2 linked regions of the Kluyveromyces lactis genome follow. The protein of the gene in region 1 purifies or fractionates together with the protein of each later gene. This does not show direct contact. Links are inferred from orthologs where the notes say so. Each region holds a gene or a part of one and is shown in the gene's direction. Other genes may lie near its edges.

The links.
Region 2: the proteins of SMC1 (region 1) and IRR1 purify together in Saccharomyces cerevisiae (affinity purification with mass spectrometry; 6 studies listed by BioGRID, with this or other methods). This does not show direct contact. The link is inferred for Kluyveromyces lactis from reciprocal best matches to the Saccharomyces cerevisiae genes SMC1 and IRR1.

What each region holds. Positions count from the first base shown.
Region 1 is NC_006040.1:643,470-648,094, reverse strand, and holds the start of SMC1 (cohesin subunit SMC1), read left to right. Parts: upstream 1-1,612; coding exon 1,613-4,625. Other genes in the region: SCF ubiquitin ligase complex subunit CDC4, read left to right, coding at 1-111; KLLA0_D07524g (uncharacterized protein), read left to right, coding at 670-1,077. UniProt on the Saccharomyces cerevisiae protein: Involved in chromosome cohesion during cell cycle and in DNA repair. Central component of cohesin complex. The cohesin complex is required for the cohesion of sister chromatids after DNA replication.
Region 2 is NC_006042.1:2,572,601-2,576,967, reverse strand, and holds the start of IRR1 (cohesin subunit IRR1), read left to right. Parts: upstream 1-1,247; coding exon 1,248-4,367. Other genes in the region: ATG45 (Atg45p), read left to right, coding at 1-586. UniProt on the Saccharomyces cerevisiae protein: Component of cohesin complex, a complex required for the cohesion of sister chromatids after DNA replication. The cohesin complex apparently forms a large proteinaceous ring within which sister chromatids can be trapped.

The sequences.
Region 1 (4,625 bases):
GAAATCTTGGATTTTGCTGCTCGGAATGGTGACAAGACTATCAGAACCCGGACTAGAACAAGAGTCGACCATCAAATATATCGAACGTCACTTTGGTCTTCCACTCTTTAACATTAACTATCAATTTAACTTGCATTACCACATCTGGTATCTCGCCGTATGGAAATATTCTACCATCAAATAAACTCTGTAATACCAATCCTCTGTATCTTTGTTCTCTTCTCTTCTCTTCAATGCCAGCAGACATAAAAAAGTTGTATGATTAATTTATCTACGGCATCACCTATCCCTAAGACATATATAGGAGTTTCAATACTATTTCTACGTGTTACAAACTTTTCAGCCACCCCAGTACTGGTGGATACAGTCGACTACTATACCAGACATATACAGTTCTCAACATTTACCTATCTATGTCTTCTTATCAAGATAGGGTCATCCCTAGGTGTGGAAAATTATGCCAAGGAATTAATCGGGTGTGTTTTGCGATGAGGAAAAAAGTAAGTTGCACATTGAAAAAAATGTCAAATTTACACAATATAAGTACCTCTTTCGATTTTGTCCACCTATTCTTGCAACATTCCAGTGCCTACTCAAGCATAGCGTCTTGGATTGGACTGAATCTTTACCCACTTAAGCACTCCCAAAATACCCCTCCAACACACTGAAATGTCATTGCAGCAAGAAGGATCATCATCGGCGTCATCATCCTCATCGAGAATTAGCCAGAGGAACAAACAAGTTGGGTCTCAGTCTGAAGAAAATTTAACCGTGGAAGCCTTAAGAACACAAGAACTATCAGTAGGTCTGATTGTAAGTGCTTTTGTACTTGTGTTGAGCTGCGGTGTCATTTTCCTACTAGGAGTCAACATCGTGATCCAGTATCGTACCATAAACTGGGGTTATGTACCAAAAGCCATTTTGAAAATGACTTACATATTGTTAAGCGTGGTCTCCATCTTCTATATTAACAAATTCAACCTGTACTTCTTCAGATTGATGAACAACAGAGACACGTCCAATGCCTACGCTAGCATCCCACAACTGGAGCCTGTTCAGATGAAAACAGGCGTGTAAAGAACCAAATACTGACTTTTCCATCCATCTCAGACATCCTCATATAAATATACATATAAGTATATCATCATATGCAGTTAATTAAAGCAAAACCCCAGAAAAAAAAACCGATATAATACGAATTGAATTTCAAAAACCACAGAACGTGTGAACTGTATATCAGGGTGTCAGCTTCATACCGATCTTGTCTTCTGTACATCCTTGGTGCAACTAGCACCTCCGTCCTCTTTATGGATGGACGGATTATAACGGAAACTTCCCAATTAAGTTACATAATGAAACACCAAGTTACCCGGATATGTTCGAACGCGTCAATGCAATATTTAGAAAATGAAAATAAGAAAGGCGTTTATATCTATTTACATTAAGATTTTTCGTGTTAGTTGAAGGATGGGTAGCTTATTCGGTCAGCTTACCATCTACATCAGCTGCAACAAGCCGCTTATAATTGAAGTTGCAGTACAAGTTATCCTAATAAACTTGTGATCATTTTTTGTTTTATTTCGCTGATTTGTAGAGATATTCGTGTTCCAAGATGGGTAGACTTATCGGGTTAGAGCTGCATAATTTCAAGTCGTATAAGGATACGGTGCAAGTTGGTTTTGGTGAGTCTTACTTCACCAGCATCATTGGGCCCAATGGTTCTGGTAAATCGAATCTGATGGATGCCATTTCCTTTGTGTTAGGTGTGAGAAGTAATCAGTTAAGGTCATCGGCGCTTGTAGATTTGATATACAGGGGCAGAATTGAAAATGGCGATCCAGATAACGGCAATGCTAAGAGAATGCACCGATCCGACGCTGATTCGGAAGCTGGTCCAGAGAATGCCACATATTCGGAGGAAGAACCAAGAAGTGCATATGTCAGTTGCGTGTATCAAAAAGATGATCTTGATGAACCAACAAAATTCACAAGAACCATCAATACATCTGGTGATAGCGTTTACAAAATCAACGATAGAGCTGTGAGCTATAAAAAATATAACGAGGAATTAGAATCCGAAAACATCTTGGTCAAGGCGAAAAACTTTTTGGTTTTCCAAGGTGATGTCGAAAGAATCGCTTCTCAGGGACCAGAATCATTGACGCTATTATTGGAGCAGGTTTCTGGATCTATAAACTATAAGAATGATTATGAGAAATTGAAAGAAGAGCATAAGCTGGCTTTAGCTGAATTCACAGACGCTCATAATTCAAGGAAAAAAGTGCAAAACGATTTGAAAAGTTTTAAAGAAGGTGTCCAACGGGATGAGCAATATAGAACGAGTTTAGAAATTAGAGATCAGTTGAAACATAACTTTATTTTATGGGAACTATTCCATATCCTTAAAAGAAGGAAGAAACTGGTAGATTCTCTAACAGTTTCAAAAACTGAAACGACTGCGTTGAAGAACAAGCTTTCAGACGAAGAAAGAATACTGACCAAAATCAAATCCACAACGGCTAAACATGAACTGCAATTGAGTAAGTTGAAAGATACGCTCGTACAGTTAGAAAATGAAAAAACATCGTTACAGTCATCTTTACTACCTGTTGGAAGCGAGAGGTTAGCTACCATCAAGAGAATACATAACTTGGAAAAAAGAATATCCTCATTCAAGAAAGATATGGAAAGGCAACAAGCTTATGTCAAACAATTCGAAAATCAACTGAAGGTAGTTTCTAAAACAAAAAAGTCGTTTGAGAAAGAGTTAGAAAATATTCATGCCAATCTCAATAAATTCAATTTATCTGAAGAAGATTTAAAACAATATGAGCTATTGAAAGAGAAGTATTTAAGTTCTGGAGGCTCTCATATCGAGGAAAAGTTGGCTATCTTAAAAAACGACGAGTTTGAACTAAACGAAGAGAGTGAACTTATTAACAAAAGACTGAAAACAACCAGGGAACGCATAAGTGACGAATTACAGGTCGATGTCGATGCTTTAGAAGCAGATCTCAACGAGGTAACACAAAGGTTGAATGATAAAAACTCGATAGCAGCTGCTAAGTCTAAAGAATGGAAAGGTATTCAAACTAATCTTGAGTCCCTAAAGAATAAGGAATATGAACTGAATTTTAGCTTGAGAGACGTACTTCTGAAAATTGACGATCTTAACGCTGATCAAAGAGAGACCAAGAAGGAAAGAAAACTAAGAGAGAATGTTTCTATGCTTAAGAGATTATATCCCGGTGTGAAAGGATTAGTACACGATCTATGTCATCCGAAAAAAGAGAAGTATGCGATTGCAGTATCAACGATACTTGGTAAAAACTTTGATTCCATTATAGTCGACAGTATTGCTACCGCACACGAATGTATCACGTACCTTAAAAAGCAAAGAGCCGGTTCAGCGTCTTTCATACCTCTTGATACAATCGACGTCAATCCACCATCATTGCCGGTGTCGAACGTACAAGGCTGCCTTTTGACTATTAATGCTATCGAATACGAAGGCTACCTTGAGAAGGCAATGCAATATGTGTGCTCAGATTCTATTATTTGTGATAACCTAGACCTAGCTAAAGAATTAAAGTGGTCAAGAAATGTCAAGGCCAAACTAGTGACATTGAATGGTGCTTTAATACATAAAGCTGGACAAATGACTGGTGGTACGGCACAGAAAAACCAGAATAGATGGAATAAAGATGAATACCAAGGACTGATGGTATTGAAAGATCAAATTACCGAAGAATTGACAGCGCTATCAGACAAATTCAGAGCTGATAACATGAAATCCAGAGAGCTGGAGAATGAAATATCTTTGTTAAATAATGAGATTTCGAGTTTGAGAACTCAGATCACCCAACTTGAAAGAACTTTAAGTGGAAAAAATGTCGAAATCAAGCATAACGAGGATTTGATTACTACAGAATACGAACCTCAGCTTAAATCCTTCACTCAACGTATCGAAGAATTGAAGAGCAAATTAACTAAGTTGGAAAGTGAGAAAGATGTTTTACAAGAACAGATTTTTAGACCTTTCACCGATAAATATGGCTTCTCAATTAAAGACTATGAACAAGGTACTGGCGAAATTATGAGAAAGCACTCCAAGGAGCTTCAACAGTTCCAGAAACAGATTCTCACCATTGAGAACAAATTGGAATTCGAAAAGGACCGTTTGGGAGCTACTGCGGCACGTCATACAAAAGCCTTATCTGACATGGATAAATTGAAAGAGGCTCTGGGTTCATTAGAGAAACAAGAGGACATAATAACGGAAAAGATCAAGAATGCAGACTCAAAAATTTCACAAGAACAACAACTGGTAGCCATTCAACAAAAGGAGCTAGATGAAAAAGTGCACAATCTAATTTCATTTGATAGTAATATTGCAGAAATTCAATCGAGCATGCAAGCCGCAAGACGAAAAGTGGATGAAATCAAAGAAGATATTGAAACACTCGACCTTGAACAATTAGGTATACTGAAGAATTGTAAAGTCTCTAACATAGAGCTACCGCTACTGGATTCGTCGTTAGAAGATATTTCCATTGATGTTTTGGATTCTAACAATACAGGTATAATCTCTGATCTCGAGTATGATTTTACTTCTTTACCGGAGA
Region 2 (4,367 bases), on another chromosome or scaffold:
TTTCGATAATTGGAATCCTGGTCAGTACACCTTGAATTATGATTCAAGCACAGGCTACTTTATTGCCCATTTGCCGTACGATGGCTATAGTGAAACGTTCGTCTGTAAGTTCGTTGTCAACAACGAACATTGGAAAGCTTTGAGCTGTTTCGATAAATATATAGATGATATGGGTCACGAAAACAATTTAATCCATTGCAAGGCTTGGTTGGAGACTGAAGAAATGGTTGCTGATATTGTAATGGAAGATGTGGAATTGGATTTAAAACCTTTTAGATCTTCTATGTCACCTTCAGATCTTCAGATCGATCAGTTAGCAATCACTAGGCCAAGTAGCGAACAAGATTACATACACGTAACTTCAAGAGGTGAATTAAGCTCATCTGAGGACGTGGAATTAGATCCGAGAGTAACACAAGGTACAATTGATGATATTTTGGTAGATGATATTGACGAACAACAATCTCAACAAACTCTACTACAGGCAAGCTACTCTGATCAAAATGCCAAATATCCATCTTCATATAATCCGATACACGGACTCGTCGCAACTTTAAGACGTGCAACCACTTACTGGAAACGTTGATGGTTAATTTTATGCTATTTCTTCTTTACCTATTCTCCTTCTAATTGATTTTTCTTCCTTTCACGCTAATATACACTGCTTTTTGCTCAACTTCTTCTATCCAGTAAAAATCTTCTGAACACATATTCATCAAACTACAATAATTACTATTTAAACCTCGTGCTATTTCTCTTCTTTAATTTATTTAGCCTCTAACTTCTTTTTTTTCTCAGGATGTAATACAGTCTGTCGGTTTAAATCGATTACGACGATTGCTTCAAAACACACTCTCTTCCCATGCTTTGGTAGCCTCAAATGAAAGCATACAAAAGTCATCTCATTTGAATGAAAATTGCTCTTAGATAAAGTTCATGGATGTCTTCGTAAAACAGGTCATTTAACTTTAGATAGAGAAATTGATATAGGTCTGTGATTTAACAATGTAACACTGTTGTTTCACTTCTTAACACAGCTGCCGTTATTAGGCCAAAATATAATACTTACATTTTACATGGATTCGAGTAAAAAAACGCGTCGCGTAAATCTAAAAAACTATATGTATGAAAGTAAAAAAAAAGAGGCGACGAACAACAAATCAAGGAAAAAAACAGCTCTCACTCATAGTACATTAACAACAACAGTCACTTACTAGAACCATTCAGCCTCGTTCCACTGTCTACCTATGCCAGTGAGAAGGTCAACCAGGATAAGGACCAAATCCTCTTATAGTGAACAATCTGGATCAGAATCGGACTCTGAGCACGAAACTATAGGATCCATTGTCACCGACGATCGAATAAATATCGAAAACACGGATAATCAGAAAGAAGAAGAAGCTTTATCACAAGGTTCTAGTAGTTCAGAAGAAGACGATGACGCCAATGATGACGACTATGTTGCCCCTGGCTCCAGAAAAAGACCAAATTCCGGAGGTAGGCGCGTTGCAAGCAACAAGAGAACGAAATTAAAACAAAACGAGAAAGGCCGACCATCTAATAATATATCCAGTGCTGTTTCAAGAAAAGAACAGGAAGCATACATATCATTGCAGAATGAATTCAAACCCACAGAGCTTTTTGAAATTCTAAGCAGCTCCGACGATTTTTCTTGCGAAGAACTTGCCAGTGACTGGTTGGATTCCTATATAGATAACCGAAATGTCAGCTTAGCGAATCTCATAAATTTCTTATTAGATTGTTCTGGATGTTTCACTCATATTGGTGAACACGATGTAGCTAATAATGACTCTTCGAATGAAACAATAGGGGAAATACAAATTATGTTCCATGAGCAAAAAAAACATGAGTTCCATTTATTACTATCGGCAACACACAAGAAGGCAAAGTTCCGTCCTTTGAATGATAATTTTAACATTTTCATGACCACATTAATGGACCTAGCCATTGAGAAAGAGATGATATATGTTGAGAATGAAAAAGAAGAAAGTGACGAGATTGTGATCGAAACAAATCCATTAATTATTGACTTACTTACATGGATACCTTCCATGTCAGTATCAAAAATACGATGTTTGCGATATGTTTCAGCTAAAGCCATCTTCTGTTTCCAAGATTCTCTCGCACGAGCTTCTGCCAGCTTAGAAGCAGAGGTGTTATTTAAACTGAGGAAACAGTTGACACTGGAGAGAAAAAAGAAAAAGCCCAAGTCCAAAACTATGGAGACGCTAGAATCTTCTATTTCTGATGCTGAAGCTACGAAAACTGTGATAGAAAACACTATTGATAACATAATAAAGCTCTGTTTTGTTCATCGTTTCAAAGATGTAGATGAAAATATCAGATCCCTTGCGATATCCTACTTGTTAGATTGGATTGAAAACAATCCAGACTACTTTTTTAAGGTAACCTTCCTCAAATACTTCGGTTGGTTGCTATCTGATAGCAGTAATTCAGTCCGGTTACAAGTTATAAGGTCCCTTCATGACCTAATTAAGTTCTCCAATAAGAGAAACAAAAATACTGTCGATAACGCTGCCCTAAGACAATTTTTCGAAAGATTCAAAGATCGAATGTTAGAAATAGCTGGCAGAGACATCGATATTCAAGTAAGATTAACCTCAGTTCAAGTACTTTCGTCGATTAATGGGTTGGGTTATCTGGATGACCATGAAATAATAGACATCATTAGCTTGATCTTTTTTGATCATGAAGTAAAAGTATCTTCTTCGTCAAGGGACGTTAAATTCTTGAACGAGGTTACCAAATTCTTGGCAAACATTGTTTCTGAAAAAACGGAAGAGTTTCTAATAAACAATGAAAGGTTTAAGGTTCCGGTAATTTCGGTAACGGAAGAGCAGTTTGTTAAGGTGGGTGTGTTAATGAGATTATTACACAATTCATTGTTAAATCATATCAACTCCACTAGTAATTTAGAAGGTTATGCAAAAGTACCACCGGACAAAATCAAACTCTTACAGCAAGCGGCGGAATTTTTATCCCCCAAGTTTTACAACTTAATTGAAACTATATCAAAACTACTCTATGAAGAGGGAAATTTCGATGGCAGCACAATTCATGCTGATGCAGATGATTTTTCCAATGATCTGGGTGATATCAAATTGTTCCTACCAGAAACTGATAACAATGTCCTATTTTATGCCACTGTGTTGGGCGGCTTATGCACAGGCGGCATACAGTACAACAAAGGCCAGGACAGACAAGCCGTGACACAGTTAATTCTTCCAGAGTTAGAAGATCTTTTCAAGAAAATGAATCTTGATTCTGATCAGATATATACTCAACTACTAAATGTAATACAGCTATTAAACACAGAAGAATGGAATTCCAGTGAATCAAAGGATGTCATTTTTAATATCAATAAAACAATAACAAAACGATTTGAAAGCTCTCCAGTGGTTTTGAGCAACGCAAATGCCATTACTAAAACCTATAAGAGTTTAATTCCATATTTGGCATCCCTTCAAATACCAGAGGTAACTGGTTATTGGAAGTCATGTCTGATTAACGTGACATTATCATTCAAGAAGTTTATGGAATCATTTGACATAAAATCTGATAATTCAATAACAACATTATATCTGCAATATGTTAACAAACTTGTAATTTTGGGTAAGGAGTTCGCAATTGAAATTTCAGAAACGCTTTTGGATGACATTGTTGAAAAATTCTTGAAGCCGTTGAGTGAATTACTACCAAAGATTGATTCGGATGCCATATCTGTCCTAGATTTTAAGCTTTTCACCTCAATAGTTACTTGGAATTTAGCAACTTGGAGAGATGTTATCAAAAATAATGAAGAACCTATAGCTGTTTCACATACTACGCTGAATCAAATTAGAACGGTATTAGTCGAATTGCTGAATCTTTCTTCAAAGATCGATTCTAACCCTGAAATACAACACGACAAGAAATTCCATGTGCTTCATGTAATACTCTCTCCATTGTTAGATATTATCATTGCATTCAAAATGTTTGAGCTCGATTTGTCAGAAAAGGATTCCGATTGGATAAGGGCGTTAAGGCAAGAATATTCAGTTATCTCTAACGAAGATCTAACTGGTATTTGCCACAAAGTTTTCCTCTACCTTGAGAGTTGTCTTGGAAAATTTTTGGGAATAACTCTAGATCGAGTGGCTGATGAAGATGTAAATTATGGCGCTGTCAACTTAGTCGATGTTGATGGAGATCCAGAGAAGGAGCTTTGTATCTATACCATTAAATTGAAAGGCCTCATCAAACTTGGAATTCTAAACTATAGCGATTTAACTACAAGAATTGGGTTAAACCAAGAGAAATTAGGGCCATTATTTGAGAGTGTAGTA